Tribolium castaneum: one gene and its partners. The protein of the gene in region 2 purifies or fractionates together with the protein of the main gene of each other region. This does not show direct contact. Links are inferred from orthologs where the notes say so. Each region holds a gene or a part of one and is shown on either strand. Other genes may lie near its edges. The genes, in order: sxc, Set1 and CXXC-type zinc finger protein 1.

Region 1 (4,406 bases), on a different chromosome or scaffold from region 2:
TTCATACCGCCTGAAAATGAAAAATTGAGAAACTAAATAAAAATAAAAATTGAAACATTAGGTTTTCCTTTCTATTTTTATTAAACTAAAACGAAAAAACACCATATTTGGTCAAAATTGACCAAAAAATTACTTTTTCTACGCGTTTATTTAGCAAAAACTCAATTATTGTGCAAAATTTCTTAAAAAGTAAGCCAATAAATCAGAGAATTATGTCAAAAATTACATTATTTTTGCAAGTTTCGAGGATTTACACTCGTTTTAGACTAAACATTAGGTTTTTCTTTCTATTTTTATTAAACTAAAACAAAAAAATCACCAACTTTGGTCAAAATTGACAAAAAAATTTTTTTCCCAAGCCTTTGTTCAATTATGTGCAAAATTTCTGATAAAGTAAGCCAGTAAATCACAGAATTATGTCACAAATTACATTATTTTTGCAAGTTTCGAGAATTTAAACACGTTTTGGACCAAACATTAGATTTTCCTTTCTATTTTTATTAAACTAAAACGAAAAAATCACCAACTTTGATCGAAAATGACCAAAAATTTACCTTTTCTAAGCGTCTATTTAGCAAAAACTCAATTATTGTGCAAAATTTCTTAAAAAGTAAGCCAATAAATCACAGAATTATGTCAAAAAGTACATTAATTTTGCAAGTTTCGAAGAGTTAAACACGTTTTAGACCAAACATTAGGTTTTCCTTTCTATTTTTATTAAACTAAAACGAGGAAATCACCAATTTGGTTAAAATTGACCAAAAATTTACTTTTTCTAAGCCTTTATTCAGCAAAAATTCAATTATTGTGCAAAATTTCTTAAAAAGTAAGCCAATAAATCACAGAATTATGTCAAAAATTACATTATTTTTACAAGTTTCGAGGATTTAAACACGTTTTGGACCAAACATTAGGTTTTCCTTTCTATTTTTATTAAAGTAAAACGAAAAAATCATCAACTTTGGTCGAAACTGACCAAAAATTTACCTTTTCTAAGCGTTTATTTTGCAAAAAACTCAATTATTGTGCAAAAATTTCTTAAAAAGCCAATAAATAAATCACAGAATTATGTCAAAAATTACATTATTCTTGCAAGTTTAGAGGATTTAAACAAGTTTTAGACCAAACATTAAGTTTTCCTTTCTATTTTTATTAAACTAAAACGAGGAAATCACCAACTTTGGTCAAAATTTACCAAAAATTTACTTTTTCTAAGCCTTTATTCAGCAAAAATTCAATTATTGTGCAAAATTTATTAAAAATTAAAAAGTAAGTCAATAAATCACACAATTATGGCAAAAAATACAAGTTTCGAGGATTTAAACACGTTTTTAAACCAAACATTAGGTCTTCCTTTCTATTTTTATTAAACTAAAATGAAAAAATCACCAACTTTGGTCAAAATTGACCAAAAATATACATTTATTTTCTAAGCGTTTATATAGCAAAAACTCAATTATGTGCAAAATTTCTTAAAAAGTAAGTCAATAAATCACACAATTATGTCAAAAATTACAAGTTTCGAGGATTTAAACACGTTTTTAGATCAAACATTAGGATTTCTTTTTTATTTTTATTAAACTAAAACGAAAAAGAAGACAAAGTCAAAGAAGACATTTTTTGCAAGTTCTAGGATAAAAACCCAAAAAAAATCAAAATTTGATCGAAAATGACCAAAAATTTACATTTTCTAAGCGTTTATTCAACTAAAACTTAAATGGCAGTTGTTTTGTTTATTTTAAAAAGTAAACACACTAGCACAGATAACGTACCATTTCTTTCATAATCCAAACCAAAAAACGTTCAAAATTTTAAACAGTCGTTAAACGAGATTTCTATAATCCTAAAACAATTCCCGTAATTCTCAAAAAAATAAATCGATCAAAATTGAAAAAAAAACATAGTTGAATAGAGTATGAAAGCAGCTGCGTCACTCGACCCCTGTGGCAATTGAAATTTCTTGAAGGGGTGGCTCTGAGCACTAGAGGGGTGCAAATAACTTTAAAGAAAGAACTCTAAAAAATAAAACTTGGTCCCCCTTTAATACAAAATTGACCTGTTTCAGCATTTTTCCAAACTTAGACGATATCAGGGATCTTAGAGAATGCAAATTTTAGTTATTTTCACATTTTTCTCCCCCCCACTATCACCTCTTCAAATTTTTACACAATTTTTAAAGCCACCCCTGTATTTCTGTAGTTGCGAAAAGTCCGCTAGAGGACACCAACTTCGCTAACTTTCTACAGTGAACAAATCATTCAGAAACCTCTTATAGGTTTTTAGATTTAGAAAAAACTGTAGAACACTCATGGAATAAGCCAAAACAATGAAAAATACCTGTAAGCTTCGGCGAGGAGTGGATTTTGTTTGATTGCCAAAGTGCTGAAATGTGCGGATTTGTCTAAACGCCTGCACTGGAAATGTATGCTTGACAAAAGCAGTAAAACCCCCGTATTGGTCTGATCCTGTCTCCACAACTGCATACAGTGCCTCTCTGCATTTTCATAATCCCCAGCTTGGTACTCACGATGGGCAAGTTCAAGAAGCCCTAACACACAAAATACGTAAACAATTGCCAATTTCACCATCACAAAGACTCACCAACGGACGAAAGCTGCGGAACATCATTCATCTTTAAGACAATGGGACTACCGGTGATGGGCAACCCGCTGTTTGTTCCAGAACTGAGATGGTTCTGACCATCGACCACAATCTGGTCCTGCATGGTAAAGCACGCCGTTACACCAACATAAACCCTATCTGACCTATTTCTGCACACTTTCACCACAGTTTTTCACCAAAAAACGCTCTAAATTACAACAATCGATTCTCTGATGGCCTCAAATGGCCGCCACTGAAGAGAGACAACTGAAGAACTGTGGTCAAAGCGCAGCTGCGACCTGATTGGTCTTTGAGCTGCTGGAGCTGGCGTGTGATTGGTGGAAGCGAGTGGAAATTTCCATTCCATGGTCCGTTATTTACCTGGATTTGGTCGTCAATGGGTGCGAAGGGGCCCACGACGATTTTTTGCGATTCAATGGGATTTACCAGATGGGACCATTTGCACTATTCCCGGGCTGTGACGAGCTTCGGAGCACAAAAAAACCACAAGGCGTCTTATCAATTTCACGCCCGATGAGGTGCGATCGGTAGGCCTTGAATGGCACGAAAACGCCCGAATGCGGGGAAATCACTAAATGGCGCAAATTTTGATTTTGCAAATGCGAATTTCAAATTGCGACAATAAGTGACACATTAAATATTACTTCAAATATTTGTCAATAAAATCAAACTCCAATGTGGGAAAATTTAATTACTAGCAAAATTCAGGCAAGGGAAAGCACAGGGTTACCCAAATACAAAATCTAACAAACCGAAAATAATAATAACAATTTTTTTAATAATTAGATTAAGAGATTGCGGAATTGTGTATTTTTTGCCGTAATTGTTAGCAATTGTTAACAATTCAAAAAGCCATTAATGACTGTTTAATTTTTTTGTGTTTTTTTTTTTAGAAAATCACCACGTTGTGGTAAAGACAACATTTTTTTACTGTTTTTGCGTTATACATATTAGTACTTAAAAATACAGGGTAATTCAAAAGTGACAGACCATCTCTCATATGGTGTTAAAAGACAAAAATTAAGTCAGATTTTTTTTTCAAACAATTTTGATATATTTTTTGTTCTTTTGTTTCCTATGACGTCGAATTTAATTTATTGTCAAATTTGCAAGTTTTTTATTTCTTTTGTACATCATGAAACATTAATTGTTGATTTTTTCAATATGTATTTGTTTAATGTTCCAAGAGCTGTCGTTTCTGCTAACTAAAGCTAAAAACATACGATCTAAAGCAGCAAAAACTTAACTTAAAAATTTAACTTAGAAGAGCTATATCTCGTGAAAAAGGGCTCTAACAATTTTTTGTCATAGAATTTTTTTTAATTCAGTTTGTTTTTAATCTAAATTTCTTTGAAAGTATTTCCGACTTTTTTGAATTACTCTGTAGTATATTAGACAATCAAAATTGCTGAACATTAATAAATAATGATAATGACTGAAAAATTACGTTATTTTTTTTCTTTTCAAGCCAAAAACTCCCTAATTACTTTAAAAAACCATTTTTGCGACATGATATCGAAATTTTGTCACAAAATTGAGTAATTTAGGTCAAAGTTGAAATTATTTTTTTGTTCTTTGCGTTATATTATTACGTTTTTTTTATCTAGAAACGTAATTATTTCACACAACTTTAGATAAAACAATCTAAAAGATTGCCAAACTAAGCCACAACTGCGTGTTTTTTTTTACTTTTTTTAAGGATTTTTTTTTGACGAACACTCTAATGTTACTTCTTGTTGGATATTCTTGGCGTGAAAATTAACCAAACCAAAGTTTAAGTTTGG
Region 2 (3,785 bases):
ATCCTCATGAATAAAGTCAGGAACCGCAACCGAGGTATCAGAGGAACATGGTCTGAAGAAAATATACAGCATGCTCTAGCAGCTGTTAGAAACGGTATGCCCGATAATACAGCAAGTTCTTTCTTACTTTTATGTTTAGTTGTTTGTTTATTTAGAGTTTTATTTATGTTTCCTTTTTTTCAAAAAGCATTACTTTTGAAAAGTTGAGTTTCTTTGAAAATTTTTGGATAAAAATAATGTTTTGTAGGAATAGTATTATGTGGCGTTATTGAGACAATAACGCCAATGTGCAATGTTTTAAAAAAAATATTCATAGAATGTACAAATATGCCAGGAACATCTTTTAACTGTTTGAACTTTTTTTTTTAATTTGACTATTTAAGAGAAAATATCCATCGAAGCTTAGCATGACGATATTGTATTCACTTACCTTAAATTATTTTCAAAATTGCTGATTTTCTGGAACTACGAGAAATTGGTACCAACTTTGAAATTTTTAATAGTAACCACCTATTTTTATTGCATTTTTGAATTCGCCTCTTGAAATTGAGTAAAATGTACTCTAGTTGTTAGTACTTATCTGCCATAGTTTTTGACGTATGTCAATTTTTTATACAAATTTTCACTTACAGGGGTTCATTTAAAATATTACAGCTCCTGAACCCTTTACAATAAGTAAATATTTCTCTTTGCCAAATGTTTAGAGGGTCTTCTCAAGCCTTTAGGATTGTCAACTGTCAAATTGCAAGGCTACTATGATTTTTTTAAAATGATGATTAAAAAATGATAACAAAACAGTTTTTTCAAATGGAATAACTGTTTTTTTCAATGACAATCAAAAGAACGTCAATTTTTATGCAGACTTTTGTTAACATCTTCTATATTTATCCATTACAGTATTTGAAATAATCGCAAAAAACAGAATTTTGGCTCATTATTTTCATTTTTAAAAACGTAAACTTTTGAAAACTACGATAAAATTATGCTATTAATTAAAAGAAATGTCCTATTTGTTAACCATTTTCATTTGAGAAGTTCAAAATTCGAAAGCAGACTGAGTTACTTTACATAATTCACTAAGTTGTAATAAATAAATTATTATAATTAAATTCGCTTATTCGATAATGAACCAGCTAAAAGCTAAATAAAATATTGAAGTTTGACAATTGTTGAATTTTACAAGGTCTACTAAAAGCCGTTTTTTGTGATTTTTTTCAAAAACTGTAAGAGATAGGTATAAAACGTATTGATAAAAGTCACCACAAGTATATATATTCTTTCGATTACTGTTAAGAAAATCGGGTCGTTCCATTTGAAAAAATTGAGTTACAGCAGTTTTTTGAAAACCATTTTGAAAAAATCACCCTAGCCATAAATTTTGATAGTTGACAATTTCGGAAATTCTAAAAAACTCTTCAAACCTTGGGTTATCCAATTCAAAAAAATTATTCGCTTATTGCAAAGGGTTCAAGGGCTGTGATATCTTAGATAAACCCTTGTAAATGAAAATTTTAACAAAAAAATTGACATAATTATGTTAAAAACTAACAGACAAGTACCAACAACTTAGGTAAATTTTACTCAGTTTGAGAAGGTAAATTCAAAAATGCAATAAAAATGTTCGGTTACTATTTAAAATTTCAAACTTGGCGTCATTTTTTTATAGTTCCGTAAGCTGAGCCATTTTAAATATAATTTAGTTGAATTTAGAATGGTCGATTTGGATCATATATACAAAATTTTAAAGCTTTAGTTCTATTAAAATTTCAACAGTATCTATTGTAGGCCTTAAAAGAATCACCCTGTATATTTCAGAAAAAATCTATCATTGTAAATTCCTTTGTTTAATAAGAAGGGCAACTGGGTTATGTCATTCTTTAATCTCTTTAAGAAAAAACAATTTTTTTAAACATGTGTAAATGAATCGAATTTTCACGTAAAAAACTGTTTTTGGTCAATGGGTAGTATTTATAAAGTGGAAGTAAACCAGCGTGTACCAAAAGTAAAGTGCGACGTAGGCGTTTTTATAGTTTTGAAACAGCTAATATTTGTAATAATTAAGGATAGTCGATTATATTTCATTAGAAAGAAAGAGATAGAATTATAGTAAAAGCTTTTGCTACATTTTATAAATACTACCTATAATCTAGCATATTATCAAACATTTAGCTTAGCAAGTAAGTGTTAAATACCTACGTACAATACAATATTATTTTTTCTTAGCAAATCTTATTTAAAAATACTATAGTACCAAGTAGCAATTAAATTATTTACCAAGTTTTGCCTATCAAATTTTATTTAGGACCTAGCATTTAGAGTATTTTACTTTGCATTTACAATATTTTACTTAGAAAATGACTATTATTTACTTAGAAGTTCATTAGTATCCTAAAATTAACTAGATGCCCCCTGGTGATGATAATTTGTACTATGTCGAAAACAGTAATTGTTTAGCAATTTTGCGTGTTTAATAACCATTTCTTGCATAGAGAGTCAGTTTAAAAGTATGTGGTGGTAAATACTAGCTTTGACTTTGTTTATGCAGTTTTTTGTGTTTATAGTGTTTTGTGTTGGAATTTAAAAGTGAATAAAAAGTGAAAAAAAATCATTTTTCATTACAAAGTATTATGAAAACAATTACACCATCAAAAAATATAAGCAATGATCATCGGGAACAGAAATTGGGCTCAAAAAAAAAATAATAAGCGAAGTGTGTGAATTTTAGGTTAGAATTTTTCAACTGAAAAAACCGCAATTAGGATTAACAACTGCTGATAATACATTTAAACATATTTTTTAAATATTTCCGCCATTTACGGTTACTGTTTATTAAAAAAATAGAAAATGGCTACTCACTTGTTCCAGCGCCACCTTGTGACACTCCAGGTAAACTTCTTTGGACAAAAACGGCGACGGTGGCGTTGACAAGGGGGCTGTATCGTCACACTTGACCGAATTTGAGTCAAACTCGGGGGCCGGGGGGTTGATGGGCATGTCACTTAGTGAGATACTTGACCGGTCTGCAATACCAACTTTACAAAATTGAAACACTAACACACCACCAAATACCATCATCACTGTCAATAGATGTTGGGATTGGGACCGATTTGGGCATTCTGTCAAAGGAAGACTTTGATTCGTCGTCCGAATCCCCGCCTAGTAGTAAAAAAGGCGGGGCTTTATCACCCGTGCCACGCCCCTTTAACAGAAGGGCAATTCTCGTGTCTAAGTCCAGTGTTTTGCTCTCTTCTTCCTCCTTTTCTTTCTTGTTTTTAGTGGGGGGTGCAATGTTATTACGTTTTTTCTCCTCTTTGTATTCCTTAACTGTGTGTTCTTTTTCGGGCCATTTGGGGGGAATGGGGGTGCGGTCCCACATGTCTGAAGGCCATTGGGGCGTGGCCATTGGCCACACTGTGGGTGGGCAGTGATAAGTGGGCGTGGCGTACGGGTATTGATGCGCCATGTGTGAATAATCGTAAGCCAATGGCGTGGTACCTGCCGATCCGTAACTGGCCGAAAATTCACTAGAGGCGGTGCCATAACCCATATCCGAACTACTGGGCGTGGCAAATTCACGATACCTATACCTATCTCTCTCCCGGTCTCTGTCTCTATCCCTATCTCTGTCTTTCTTCTTCACATCATCGGCGCTCTCCTTCAGGTCTTTTTCTTCCTTCTTTTTGATTTCTTCATCGATTTTGTGTTTTTCAGGTTCGACTTTCGGCGTGTTTTCGATGACTGGTGGCGGACGTTTTTCGACTGTACAATCTTCGAATTTCTTTTTG
Region 3 (4,332 bases), on a different chromosome or scaffold from region 2:
TTTGGGCAACCCCAAAGCGTTGCGCCAAATCAAGTTGAGGGAAATTGAGTCGTAATTTTACTAGGGTTAAAAAGAGTTGGTCAATTCTAGTTAACTTTTGGACTGTCCATTTGTGGTAATATTTTATGTCCAACTTTTCGATTAAGTGAAACAATGCTTCGAAAATCTGGCTATTGGGAAGACCGGTATATAAAACAATGAGTTTGTCATTTCCTTGAACATTTTCATAGCAAAATCGTACTGTCAGATATTGTATTTTTGCTTTAAGTTCAGCATTTTCCTTTTTGAGAAAATACATTTCTGCTTCAAGAGCCGCATGTGACACCAAGGGTGCTTGCACACCCATAGATTCTAACGGAGCATCTTGAATTATATCTGCTGGTGCTGCAACTACGGCTGTAGACGTCGATGGCACTTCCTCTAAATTCATTGTCGATGGTACTGTTTCTTCCGGTATATCAACACTATTCAAATGATCAAATTGTAAATCAATTTAAAACTAGGATTCACTTTTTACCTTAATGATTCAGCGGAACTAGAACAAGAAGGGAGTCCTTGTTTTTTCATCTTTTTTTTTTCTGGAGATTCCACTTGAAAATAGGCTCTTTTTGCGATATTGTGCAAAAATAATTCAGGACCATTTTCCTTTCTTCCATCCCGAAAATGGCAGCTGCAAACGTAGGCTCCTGGTCCGGGTTCTACATCTCTTCTACATTTAACAATGAAACAAGCAATTAAAAATTAATATCAAAACATCTATTAAAAATTACCTCAACAATTTTTTCCATAGTGCTCGTTCTTTTCCCGACTTAGGAAAACTAAAAAAATGGCATTTATCGCGAGTACTATAGTGTTTGCAATCTGGAGCCCAACACATTCCCATAGTTGTGATGTAAAAACCTACTACACATGAACTATCAAAGTATCGCAACAAAATATTATTCACAAATCATACCTAATGATGTACCACAAAAATGAGATAATGTCTTGGAAAAACAGAATTTTAAAAATTCAAGAACACGAAGATATGGAGAACGATCGGAAAAAACACGATAACAAAAGACACTCACGAAAGAAGCACAGAACTCACAACCCGTACTACTTTCAACCATGTATGTGCCTGAACCCTCTACCCTCGTATACCTGCTATTCATCCCTCGTGATGGGGGAGGGGGACAGAAAACAACCCGTTTATTGGGGTTGCGCCGGTTGCACCCCATGAATTCGTCATTCAGAAGAAATCCAATGTCATTAGTGTGGCAAACCATTTTTCCCTCAGTTTTAAAAGGCCACATAATAATTTACATCAATATGATGTCCAAATTAAGAAAAACTGAATTTTGAAGTTTGAAAAAAGTTAGGTTAGAAAAGGATTTATGTGTTCAACTTACAGAAATATTAGCTCAGTTGCTAAAATCTTTAAGAAACGACATTGCATTTTTCATAGCTATCATTTCTCTGTAAAAGTAATGTTCCTACACTTCTAGCATTAAAGAAATACGAAAAACTTTTAAATGCCCATAAGAAAAGCATTGAAAATGGCGATTGTTTAGCTTTAAGGTGCTGACCTACCTCAAATGTCTAACAGAGCTAGGAAAAGTGGCTAAAAGAAGCAAGGTTAAGTTAATTGAAGATGTCTCGAAAACGCGATATTTCGGTAATTTTTGGCATAAACCGGACAAAACTGTGTTTAATTTGCCTTGTTTTTAGCGCGAAGAGATCGCTAAACAGTTTCTGTTACCGGAGCGTCAATCCAAAATCGACACCCTCCTCAAGCAAGATGGTCAAGCTTATTGCATTTGTCGCTCCTCGGACAGCTCCCGTTTCATGATTGCGTGTGACGCCTGTGAAGAATGGTAAAAAACCACCTGCATGCCAACACATTGTTCAAATCATGCATTTCTAGGTACCACGGCGATTGCATGAACATCTCCGAAAAGGAGGCCAAAATGATCAAACAATACATTTGTATTCGCTGTTCCGAGGAGGACTCAACTCTGCAGACTCGTTGGCGGACCAAACGCGACGAAATCGCCAGTGCCAACACCAACACCGAGGAGCGCAAAGCCCGCAAACGCAAAGAACGAGGTGACACCAAAAACGACAAAAAAATGAAAAAATGCGGGGACTGTATGGGGTGTTACCGCACCGAGGACTGCGGGCGGTGCGACGTGTGCACGAGGCGGAGCCGTCACGGCTCCCCGCGCAACAAGGAGCGGTGCAAGCAGCGGATTTGCATAAATTACGGCGGGTGGGGTAGCCACGCCCCATGACTTGATTCTTGACCAATTGATTTGCAGGGGGAGGCGCAAGAGGCGGGATTCAAGCTCGGACAGGGAAGGCCCGCCCAATGCCCACCTCATGACCGACTATCCGCGCCAATGCTACGGGCCCACGTGTACCAATAGCGCCCGCTACGGCTCGAAATACTGCTCGGATCAGTGTGGCTTAAAGTTGGCAACCAATCGGATTTTGCAAGTGTTGCCACAGCGTATCCAAGAGTGGGCCCTGAGTCCCTGCTCTGCCGAAGAGTCCAATATCAAAGCTCTCGACCAAGTCAGGAAGCAACAGTTCGAAGTCAAACAGATTTTGCAAGAGTTGGACAGCCGGCATCGCGAATTGGACGCGATTATCGAGCGCGCCAAGAGCGCCACCATTGATCCGAACGCCGATTTCGACAACGACGAAGAGTCGGAAGTGTCGACCATGTATTGCATAACATGCGGACTCGAAATACATTCGAAAACGGCCATCAAACACATGGAAAAGTGTTTCAACAAGTACGAATCTCAAGCGAGTTTCGGGAGTATTTTTAAAACCAGAATTGAGGGGAATAACATGTTTTGCGATTTTTATAATCCAGCTAATCGGACTTATTGTAAAAGATTGAGGGTTTTGTGCCCAGAGCATTGCAAGGATCCGAAAATCGGCGAATATGAAGTCTGTGGCTGTCCATTGGTCACCAACGTTTTCGATCTGACAGGGGAGTTTTGTCGAGCGCCGAAAAAATCATGCGTTAAGCATCACGTTTGGGAGAAATTGAGACGGGCTGAGGTAAGATATTAAAAAAAAATGAAGTATTAATGCTACAATTAAGAAAGTTGCTCGAAAAAATCTACTTTTCCATCTTTTTTGCTTAGTAGAATTTGTATTGTATTGCAATATAGCTCAGGGTGGAATGTTAAGGCCGGCAAAAATATTTTGATTTTGATTTTGAAAAAAATACCTAGTAAATAGACGGGTTGCGTTTTTTTAAATTAATTGATGAAATTATTAGTTTTCGTCGTTTTTTTTTACTTTTTAAGTTCTTAATTGTTTAGTTTTAAAAAGTTTGTAGTTGTAGTTTCAATTCATGTTCATAGAAAATTCACCATCAATAATGGAAGAAAAAGCTTACGTAGTAAATAACACAAAAAAATGAAAAAAGTAAACGACAACGTAATATTTTAGAAAAAAGTTGTAAAAATGGTTACGTTTTCTGAAAAACAAAAATTTTTTAAATAAATAAAGGGTGATTTTTTAATAAATATCTTACTAAAGGAGATTGGTGCATGTTTGGTGACATTACAAAGAACTTTTTCAGGTTTTTTAATTTAATTTTCAGAACTACCTTGCATTTTTTGAGATTTGGGGTACAACAAAAAATGCCATTTGTCAATAAAAAGTGCCTTTTTTCACTTTGTTGACTTTTCTTTATTTTCATTAACTAATTTTTTTTTGAAGAAAAAAATGTCAGGCATTAATCGAGTTCAAATTTTAGATCGACTTGGAACGGGTGCGCCAGTGGTTGAAAATGGACGAACTTTTAGAAAAAGAGCGCCAAATTCGCAACACAATGGCCTCGAGAGCCGGAGTGCTCTCTCTGATGCTGCACTCGACATACAATCACGAAGTCATGGAACAAATAACAAAAGCGAGTCAGCAGGACCAAAACGCGATGCAAAGAGAGTTGGCTAAGAGATTCCGCACGTCTACCAAACCACGTTTCACGTAAAAACTTTATTTAAGAAAATATGTACAACATTATCATTGCTTGCTTGATTTCGGCAATATAGTTTGTTTGATCTCATCCAGGAGTTGTTTTCTCTTTTCTGCCTCGGCTTTGACCCTGTTTATGGCGATTTGCGCCCCGGCATGTCCCGTATTCAGCAAACTTTTAATAAAGGTAAAAATTGCGTCCGAATTATCCCTGAAACAAGTAAGAATCAGTATGGAAAGTCACCGGTTTTACACACTTTTTGGCAACCGGGGAGCCGGAGTCGCTCTCTGCAGGTTCCGGTAAAGCTAGCGCCGAAAAGTTGGCTAAAAGCACAACGAAGATGAAGAGACTGA

The links.
Region 1: the proteins of Set1 (region 2) and sxc purify together in Homo sapiens (affinity purification with mass spectrometry; 4 studies listed by BioGRID and IntAct, with this or other methods). This does not show direct contact. The link is inferred for Tribolium castaneum from reciprocal best matches to the Homo sapiens genes SETD1A and OGT.
Region 3: the proteins of Set1 (region 2) and CXXC-type zinc finger protein 1 purify together in Homo sapiens (affinity purification with western blotting; 16 studies listed by BioGRID and IntAct, counting the BioPlex papers as one, with this or other methods). This does not show direct contact. The link is inferred for Tribolium castaneum from reciprocal best matches to the Homo sapiens genes SETD1A and CXXC1.

What each region holds. Positions count from the first base shown.
Region 1 is NC_087394.1:6,432,353-6,436,758, forward strand, and holds the start of sxc (UDP-N-acetylglucosamine--peptide N-acetylglucosaminyltransferase 110 kDa subunit), read right to left. Parts: upstream 2,872-4,406; 5' UTR 2,726-2,871; coding exon 2,602-2,725; intron 2,549-2,601; coding exon 2,338-2,548; intron 1-2,337. UniProt on the Homo sapiens protein: Catalyzes the transfer of a single N-acetylglucosamine from UDP-GlcNAc to a serine or threonine residue in cytoplasmic and nuclear proteins resulting in their modification with a beta-linked N-acetylglucosamine (O-GlcNAc).
Region 2 is NC_087401.1:8,403,752-8,407,536, forward strand, and holds part of Set1 (histone-lysine N-methyltransferase SETD1B), read right to left. Parts: coding exon 3,070-3,785; intron 3,021-3,069; coding exon 2,857-3,020; intron 1-2,856. UniProt on the Homo sapiens protein: Histone methyltransferase that catalyzes methyl group transfer from S-adenosyl-L-methionine to the epsilon-amino group of 'Lys-4' of histone H3 (H3K4) via a non-processive mechanism.
Region 3 is NC_087398.1:9,598,807-9,603,138, forward strand, and holds CXXC-type zinc finger protein 1, read left to right. Parts: upstream 1-1,523; 5' UTR 1,524-1,633; coding exon 1,634-1,657; intron 1,658-1,710; coding exon 1,711-1,856; intron 1,857-1,906; coding exon 1,907-2,251; intron 2,252-2,300; coding exon 2,301-3,054; intron 3,055-3,760; coding exon 3,761-3,994; 3' UTR 3,995-4,069; downstream 4,070-4,332. Other genes in the region: uncharacterized protein LOC107397902, read right to left, coding at 1-464, 518-709, 771-903, 956-1,295. UniProt on the Homo sapiens protein: Transcriptional activator that exhibits a unique DNA binding specificity for CpG unmethylated motifs with a preference for CpGG.